Linked DNA regions of Nothobranchius furzeri. The main gene of each other region encodes a partner of the protein of the gene in region 2 in a complex. Links are inferred from orthologs where the notes say so. Each region holds a gene or a part of one and is shown on either strand. Other genes may lie near its edges. The genes, in order: lin37 and lin9.

Region 1 (4,495 bases), on a different chromosome or scaffold from region 2:
GACGCTGAATGTGTGTGTGTGTGTGTGGGGGGGGGGGGGGGGGGACCACCCCTGGCTAAATGTGAATATATTTCTGTGTAAACCAACAGCAGCTTAACTAATGCGTAGAGCTGTCAAAAATATAAATGTGTAGTTATATATAGTTACACATCTATCTACTACCACACATCAGTATTCAGCTACTGCTTTATTTTTGCATGTTATCTCCTGAGTGATACGGTGAATTCTGAGCAACAAAAGTTTTTATTAAATAAAATTTTTCCTAAGAACTTACTTCTGCCTTATCATTTTCCAGCGTTCCAAGTGGTCACTTATTAGGGATTCTGACACAGGAGCATCACTTGACTGTGAAAAGAGTAACCTTATTCACCATTTTTATACATCTGAAGATTTGTACAATTCTATTTCTCTCTCTCACACACACACACACAAAACGAAGAGAAAAAAAATGTAACGTTCAAGCACCTTTGTAACGATGGGTTTTTCAATTTGTTGAATCCTGAGATTGATGGGTTCACCTGAAGGGCTAACTGGGCTGGGAGCAGGAGGGGGGAGTCGGTACACATTCTGACCTTTGCCGTTTATCATGTCTGTTACCTGGGGCAAGGATAGAACACAAATAACAGAGAGCTCAGGTATGATGGCTAAAGAGATGGTGCAATACTGCCATCTTTAGGGGACTTACTGGTAAAATCTCGACTCATTTCAAAATTCATAAATTTGTTTTAGGCAATGAAAAAACACACAGTTTGTAAGTTTCATTAATATATTACACTGCTTTTCAAACTCGATGCACTTAAAAACCATTAACTTTTCAAGGAAATTACACAAACATGCAGACTGACAATCACAAGTTAAATTTACAATTAAATAAAGTTCATAACTTGGTAAACAACAATTACAATAATAATAATAATTTAATTGTGAAGAGGGGTAGGAGACAAATATTATTTTCACACAAATTGTGTACAATGAAACTTATTTTAAACAATTAAATTAGAAGAAATATTTTGTAAACTATACACACTTTTTCTCTTATGGTTGTTTTGCTTTCATTTCCTTTAAACAAAATTAAATCAATTAAATAATGATGACAGGAATGTGCAGCCTTACTTCTTCCTCCAACATGCTGTGTGGGGAGTTTGGGGAAGCTGTTGGCTCTCGAACAGAAGGGTTGTTTCTCATCCAGGCACGGCAAATTGGATATAAAGGGGTGCTGGTGTTAAACTGAGCCAAATCAACACTGCGATCAAACAACTTAATAACATAAGCATCTAGAACAAAGGCAAAGGAAACACACATCAGGGTAAATAATACTACCGTGTCATTTAATGGAATGTGAGTTGAGTTTACTTTGTTTATGCGGATTGGTTTCTGGTATGCCCTCATCCATCTCCTTCCGTTTCTTCCTTCGATGCTGTGGAAATCTTGCTGAAGGTCTGAAAATAAAATGAAAACAAACATGAGGACTTGCAAAAAGGCTTAAAAAACTGAAATATTTTCTGTACTAAATAACTGAATTCATATAACGATGTGTGCAGATAAAAAATTATGCTGCAATAAAAAAAACAAGAAAATCAAGTATGTGTATGAGGTATTTAGAATTGTATGAGGTATTTGAATAGACTTTACTGATCCCACAGTGAGGAAATTTACTTGTTAGGGCAGCACATACACACAGACATAGGAAAATATAATACAGGTAAACACACAAGAGTATTGGGCTATTACCATAACCTTCAGCAACAAAATAAATGCATAAAAACAGAATAAAATAGAAAATTCATAACTGTTTTCAAGGAGAAAAAGCATAAAAGACACATATAAATGTGCATCTCTGGGTATTGCACATTTATTGCGCATTTACAGAACATAGTACTGATTATTACCTCTTTCCAGCAGAAGATGGAGACAAATCCCTAGAGATAACAAGAGCATTCCATGATTGCACTGAAACACTGTTACAGCTGTTTAAAAATAAAGTGTGAATCCTTCTTCATAATAAAAAGATAAAATCACAAAAAAACTAATCCATACTTGTGCAAGGAGTCCACTGATAATTTTCCTGGATCACCCTCATTTGGTTCTCTGATGAGAGTACAATTAAAAGCATTTAATCATTTGAAAGCATAGCTATGGTCAAGTGTGTTTTACTAACCTCTCATTTTCGCTCTTCTCTACAAGACCCTTTAACACAGCATCCAACTTGCTGCGTGCAGCGGTGTTCTCTGCATCTAGGTAACATAAAAAGCAGATCGATTTAGAGCTAGGTCTCTCGTTTTTGGGCTCTAATGTTATGTATATTGTATCTTTAAAGCAAGCACAAATAGCGAACGAAATTATAACCAATGTTATATTGTGGGTATATCTCACCTAGCCGTTCAGTCTTTATCTTGATGTGGTGCATTGTCTTCTTTTCAGCACTTTTGTAACCTTTTTTAATGTTGAAATTAATTCTTGTTTGATCTCTAACAAAGGGTCCTGGTATCCTGGCTGCAACGGCTGTTTGCCAACAGCACCATTAGCTGACTTACATAGCAGCGCTTAACCAACTGATTATTCGTAAAAGAAAAAGTGAAGAAATTCTATGGCAAAAATATTATTTTATCCTAATGATTTAGACAAAACAACTTTCAATAATTTGCTTCAAATAGTACAGACAACTGGTTTTATTATTCGAACTGTGGAAGGTATTAGCTCAGCTATAGTTGCTAATGTAACTTCAGCTTGCTTCTACAAACTTCCGCGTAACAGGTGTTACCCCGAAATGTGTTCCCTGGTTGAAAACCGTTCCCACTTGGTAGTGTTTTAGCCATCTCCCGGTAAAATGTGTACTTTTTTCCGAGATACATAATAAAAACACAAGGGATGTCTATTTTATGAATTAGTGAGTCAGTTTTATGAGTGGCGTAACCGCGAGCTTATGTCTCACCTAAACACAGAGTTTTTCCCCTCCTGCCCTGATGATTTGTTTGCCGTGCTGGAATGCACAAAAATAACATAATAGATTACTAAGATATTATCTGGCTATTTTCTTAAAATAACGTTGCTTTAAAGACCAGAGATTAAATATAAAAATGAGTGACGCAGGGAAAGAAAACACTTCCGGCGGGGAACACATCTTGATGTAACACCCGAATAGCTGATTGGTGCTTGTTCAAACCACTGTGATTGGACAAATGACATGTGCGCCATTTTAGCGAGGATTTTATTGGCTGAGTGGTGTGGCAAACACCAAAAAAGCGTGACGCTTTTGTGTTTTGTCACCCTTTTTATAGTTTTATAAACTTAGGAAATCTGAGTCTGTAGTAGATGCGGCTGCGTGTAGCTGTTTTAATTTCCTAACTTAAAGGTGATTTGTAGCGTTGGAGTCCATGGTAACTCACGACGCCTAGTGAGAACACTAGGGTTAAAACAAGGAAGAGAACATTTTCCGTTCTTCAATAGTTATGAAATCCAGGTAAGATCCAACAAGCTCCTTTTTATACCACCATAAACAATAGTTTTATCTCTAATGGTTGTTTTTATAGTGGATCTGTGTTTGCAAGGAAGAATCCCTTCACACCTGCATCCTCTGTGAGAAGAGCTCATCATCCATCCCGCAAGCAATCCCTGCCAAAGACAGATGTATGTCAGCTTTGCCAACATTTCTTACCTTTACTCATGTTTGTGTTTTTTAGTCCAGCATTTGGGACGTGATTTATTTTATTTTAGTATTATTATTATTATTATTATTATGCTCTTTGCAGAGTCCTGTGCATCCCAGCCAGAGCTCTAGGAAACAGTGTCACTCCCAGAATGGAGGAAGCCAACAGCTACAGGAGAGTCACGATGGTGGAGATGTTTTTACAGAAATCTGGCCCACCACTGACTACAGGTCCTCTCCTGAAATGCTGGCGTGCGATCTGCCTGCCAGACCAGAGACATCAACAGTTTCCTCAGGAGTTCAGGATGATTCCGTGATGGCAAAGTAAATCTGCTGGTGTTTTTTCACCGTAGAGATGATTGAATTTGTGGGCCTCACAAAGCCATGACGTGTTTTTGTTACAGACACATCGAGCGCTTTGGCCACAGTCAGCCTCAGAAACGGCAGCAGGTGGCTGGAGAAGAGCAGATGCCGTTTGGGTGGATGTTTAACTCATCAGTCCACAGTTCAACTCCTACTAAAGCATCAAACAGTGGTATTATTTTTAACTTCTGCTGTGTTTAGTCACACGACACAGTAAATATTACAAGCTCGTGGGTTGTGTAAAATTTCTGTGACAAACTTTCCGCTGGATCCTTTCCCATGCCCGAACGTGTCCTCCCTCTGAAAGACGGCAGCCCAGCTGGACCGCATCATGGTGACAGATCCATCAGCGTGAGTTCACTGGGATCCTCCTTGACCTGTTGTGTTCTTTCCACTCTGTGTTGGTGACTTGTTTGTGAAATGTTTTATAAATAAATGTGTTTAGTTTTTGAATAATCATAAAAGAAAAATTGTGTAGGCTATAAG
Region 2 (4,578 bases):
GGAGGCTGAGGAGACATTTCAGCTGTTAAATTAAGATGTTAAAAAGACCAATGCACAGGGAGGGCATACGTTTTGCTTTCGGTTCTACTAAACTGACACTAGAGGGTGCTAAAAGCAAGTCAAAACTGACTAGTCTCCCTTTAACCTTTTTTTCTATCCAGGTTTGGGTCGAACTGCTCCTGATCCAAATGCTACTGTCAATTTGAATGGCGTGCATGTGCCTCTGGGAAAAGGCGTCCACACTAACATCGATGACACAAGTCTACTGTACAACGAGTATCCTTTGAGATTCATCCAGTTATTTCTTATTGGGAACGTTTTACAGCAATCTGATCTGAAAGTATTTATAAATCACTCATAGATTGATAACAAACATTGTTGTTGTCTTTATTGTAGCTTTATTTCACTCGTCACACATGCACTTTATTTTTATTCCTTTGCGTTCAATCCTGTTTTCTGTTTTCCTTAACCACTGCTCCTCCAGGTACATTGTTTATGATGTGGCACAGGTAAACATGAAGTATCTCTTGAAGATCAAGTTTAATTACCAGACATCCCTGTGGTAGAAAAAAGGCAACGTTTGAAGAAAAACACCACTTCTGCATCCAAATGCCTGGAATATTATACCACTTTACAGCTATTTCATGGTTCTGTAGCAGGCAGCCTTCATTAGGATCACGTTAACTTTGTAAAACTGAAATCACAACAGGACGGTTGTAGAAAATACAGGAAGCCTCAGACGATGATGGTTAACGATTTCATTCTTTTAATTTGATCAGTTCATGAAAATCTGTTGATAAGCTTACGTCTAAAGTGTTACAGAGTGTCTGCAAGGGGTTTTGAGTTGAGACCAGAATTATTTCAATGGCTGTTTTCTGAAGTAGCCTTGATGATACTGTATAAGGTCTGACATGTACATATTTGTTTAGTTGTTTCTGTCTCAAGCCGTCTTCCACAACTTTTTGTATGAAAATTGTGTTAATTTTTGTTCCATAAATCACAATAAAGCACGGGACATGTAAAGACTTTTGTCTTTATGTTTTTGTTTTACTCTGAATGGAAATCAGCCTATAATGCATTTATTTACCATTTGTAAACATGTTGAAAGTAAATGATCTTATGGGAGGTCAAAGGTCATGTCCTTAATGCTTCGTGTTCTTAAAAGTGTTTCAACTGCTTTAACATTTTTGGTTTTTAGCTAAATAAAGTTGGTTACAGCCGCGTTTTAAGCATACATGTTCAGTTGAATTAATATTTATGGTGGAAAACCTTTGATTTCACCTTGAAAGTGCTTGAATTTGATTTGGTTTAAGATGTAAAAACCGTGAAATAAAAAAATGCATATAATATACTAACGAGATAAAAATGAGTTTAGCAACAACGTGATCACGAGACTACCTGATAGACTTAAAGCATTTAATATTTAAAGTACAGCTCATAGGCTAATTTAGTTATTGTAGAGGTAACGTAAAACATTAAATAACGTGTTAACTTTGTGTCTGAATTCTTAAATCCGACAAAGGACATTTCCAGTACGTCTAAGTGGAGTCAAGGTTTGTTATCCACACCCATCTTTTTTCTTGCATTCCTGTACCAAGTTTCAACAAAAATATTGTACTTATATAAAATATACTTTACAGTTTATGAGTCAGAGTGACACAAAGTGACTTAGCGCCGGTGGTTGTATCAGTTTGTTTATTTTTTGTCTCAAATCGCCCTCCAGACGGATTCTAACCCAGAATGCATTTTGACAAAGTCTTTGAAAAGCGGCGCGGCTAATTCAAGATGGCGGAGATGGACCAGCTGTTAGACGAGAGTGGGTAACAACACACCATACTGTCAGTTTTACAGTGTGAACAAGCAGCGAATCTATTATAAAAAAGATAAACAGCAGGCGGAAACCCGATAGCACCGTTCATACGGCAAATATTGTAGGTTTTGGGTTGACTTTATAAGCCGCGTTTGGATGTAGAAACCGGTCTACTGCTTGCTAGCACCACGAGCTAACTATAGCTAATACAGCAGTTGAAGAAGTTACTTTAGCTCAACTGGGTAAACGAATCCCGTTAGCTTAGCTGTGAGCTAACCGCTGCTAACCTTATAAATAGAGCTACAATAACAATAGGACTACCGCAGCTAATGACTCTGTGTTTGAGTAATCAGGCTTAGTTTTCCTCATCTTTCTCCCTGGAAATGTATTTTCTTACCATAAGGTTTGTTAGCGCTTGTTACATGGTTACGCGATTGTTGTTATCATTTATTGGTTTGGCTTTTTACACTGAAATAACGGATCTAAATAAATTTAATGTAATTAGATATGACCTTCAGTTCGTGGTAACATCAGCTCGCTTCACCATGTCTGGTGTTGCCTGTCAAGCTGATGTTTCGACCCGTGTTTGACAGCTGAAACTTGGGAGGAAAGGCCTCTAACTCAACCTATCTGACCGATCCGAACGTCATTTTGGTTCTTTGATAGCATAAGTAATATTAGCATTTTACTCAAACATGGAGATATCTGATTTCCTACATTTGTTGATGAAATGACATTTGTTTTAGCTGTTAATAATGCTAATTGATACTGATGTTGCACAATTTCCCATCTTCCTTAGGCTCCTCTGCAGAGGCCCTGGTCAGTTTAAAAGGTACTTAGTCTGTTTATTTTTAATTTGCTCTTTGTACTGTTAAAATGATCTGGATTTAGATTTTTCGTAAACTATGTTTTTATCATTAAAAACATGAACGTTGATTAGGTCAGAGCCATATATGTATTAAACTCCTGGATAAAAGTGGTTAGTATTCCTAAGCCCCTCACACACATGAAGCTGTGTATTACCCTCATAATACCAAGCTTATGACCTGCACTGCCTGCATGTTTTTACAAAATAAAGTCAGCAGTTCGTGCTTTCTTTCTAGTAATAAAAACAGCACAAACTTGGTCAGAAAGCATATTAAATTTATGTGGATTGTGTTCACAATTTATTGTACAAATCCATCTTTTTACAGAGGGCAGCTTGTCTAACACTCTGAATGAGAAGAACAGTTTCACTAGAGCTCACAACACCAGAGGACGCCATTCATCTGTCACAATGGACGTGGTAAAACGATGATCACTTTTATCATGACTAATTAAGATGAACTAGAAACGCATTTATTATTGTTTGGAAAGCTACAATTACATAAGATTTGTATATTTGTCATAAAAAGTTTGAATAAATATTAATAATGGACTTTCTTGAAGACACTTTGGAGGCATAATTGAGATTTGTCGAGAAACAGTTCTATAAAAAAAATATCGATTCTTCTGAGAAAACTTAATTTTTGTGTCTTCAGCCTACAAGGAGCTCTAAGAGAAGCCGTTTGTTTCGGGAGGAAGATGAATCGCCGCAGCAGCGTCCCTCTTCCAGGTCCCCTCGGAGGAGCCAAAGGGTCTCCACTACACCACAGGTACAAACGCCAAAGTTTTCACGGGGTCTCAAAATCATTAAAAGTGCTTGATAGTACAAATTATTACTCAAGAGTATCTTTTTTTTTTGTAAAACCAGGAAGTGAAAGAGTTGTTCTGTGCATGTGTGTGCTGTTCATGCACGTAAGATGCAGGAAAATCTTAAGCTTTTGAAACTGCTGTAACGTTTATTTGGCGAAGGTGTAAGGACCATAGAACTCCACTCAATAAGGTTGTTATACATAGGATGGTCTTTCTGCTTTTCTTTTCTAAAGTGTGTGTAAAATGCTGACTTGTGACATTTAATCATGACTTAATGGTTGCTTTTGGGGACGTTTATGATCATAAAATTTGTTTGTAGTTGCACCAAAACAGTTTGGGGTGTTGGTGCATTCAAGGAAGAGGAGATGAACTTGGTTGACCTGTTCTGCAGTATTATATTGACATACTGCCCTCTAAAGCAACATTTTAGTGGATTTTATTGGGAACATTGGTTCATTCATTCCAAATAGTTTGTTTAAAGGCATATTTTACAACTTCTTCATATTTTTAAATCATTTTCTTGAGCCGATATGTGCTAAAATGACCTTTTACAGGGTTAATAAAATGTCACTCAGACCCCACCGCCTCTATGGCCAGAAAATCACACTTGCAACTTCAGTTTCCGGTCCCTTTTGGACCTTGTAAAGTTGAGCTGACATGCCAGTGCTGCAGTCTGCTTCCAGCATGTTGAACACAGCTGATTTGTTTGATTTAGTGATGAACCGCTTCTGTTTAAACTAATGAAGGCTGAGGACACGTTTCACGCATTAGATTAAGCTGTAAAAAGATGAACGCACAGTAGTAATGTGACGTTCATGAACAAATCGAATCTTTTGAACACGTTTTCAAAGTGAACAGTGAGAGCCGAGTTCCTGTAGAGTAGAGGTGTGAATCTTCACTTGTCTCTCGATTCAATTCGATTCGATATCCCGATGCGTCACGATTATTTCATATTGATTTGTTTTCATCGATGAATTGAAGATGTCAGATAATTGCTTTTTATTTTTTATCAAAAGCGTAATTGACACAACCTGCCGTCCCCCAAAAGCTCTCCATTCACAACAGTTAAGGACGAAACATTTTAAACATTTAAG

The links.
Region 1: the proteins of lin9 (region 2) and lin37 are in contact, whole or in part, in a crystal structure (PDB 7N40), measured with the Homo sapiens proteins. The link is inferred for Nothobranchius furzeri from reciprocal best matches to the Homo sapiens genes LIN9 and LIN37. Residues at the interface, in NP_001353174.1 of Homo sapiens: Lys99, Ala101, Ser102, Gln103, Lys104, Ile105, Gly106, Arg108, Leu109, Arg110, Leu112, Leu113, Lys114, His119, Trp121, Cys122, Ile123, Glu125, Trp126, Phe127, Thr227, Leu237, Phe238, Leu272, Ser273, Asn274; in NP_061977.1 of Homo sapiens: Tyr95, Ile97, Leu99, Phe100, Asp101, Arg102, Val104, Leu106, Ala107, Phe109, Ser110, Glu111, Asn112, Thr113, Pro114, Leu115, Tyr116, Ile118, Cys119, Arg120, Trp122, Met123, Asn125.

Annotation. Positions count from the first base shown.
Region 1 is NC_091745.1:37,814,354-37,818,848, reverse strand, and holds the start of lin37 (protein lin-37 homolog), read right to left. Parts: upstream 3,061-4,495; 5' UTR 2,408-3,060; coding exon 2,374-2,407; intron 2,239-2,373; coding exon of another isoform or gene 2,235-2,238; coding exon 2,159-2,234; intron 2,089-2,158; coding exon 2,038-2,088; intron 1,920-2,037; coding exon 1,890-1,919; intron 1,440-1,889; coding exon 1,354-1,439; intron 1,275-1,353; coding exon 1,114-1,274; intron 598-1,113; coding exon 466-597; intron 346-465; coding exon 275-345; intron 1-274. Other genes in the region: proser3 (proline and serine-rich protein 3), read left to right, coding at 3,450-3,460, 3,531-3,627, 3,750-3,970, 4,051-4,181, 4,317-4,360.
Region 2 is NC_091742.1:4,990,942-4,995,519, forward strand, and holds the start of lin9 (protein lin-9 homolog), read left to right. Parts: upstream 1-1,719; 5' UTR 1,720-1,785; coding exon 1,786-1,816; exon of another isoform or gene 1,817-1,820; intron 1,821-2,148; exon of another isoform or gene 2,149-2,213; intron 2,214-2,609; coding exon 2,610-2,642; intron 2,643-3,003; coding exon 3,004-3,095; intron 3,096-3,330; coding exon 3,331-3,444; intron 3,445-4,578. Other genes in the region: parp1 (poly [ADP-ribose] polymerase 1), read left to right, coding at 162-276, 485-566. UniProt on the Homo sapiens protein: Acts as a tumor suppressor. Inhibits DNA synthesis. Its ability to inhibit oncogenic transformation is mediated through its association with RB1. Plays a role in the expression of genes required for the G1/S transition.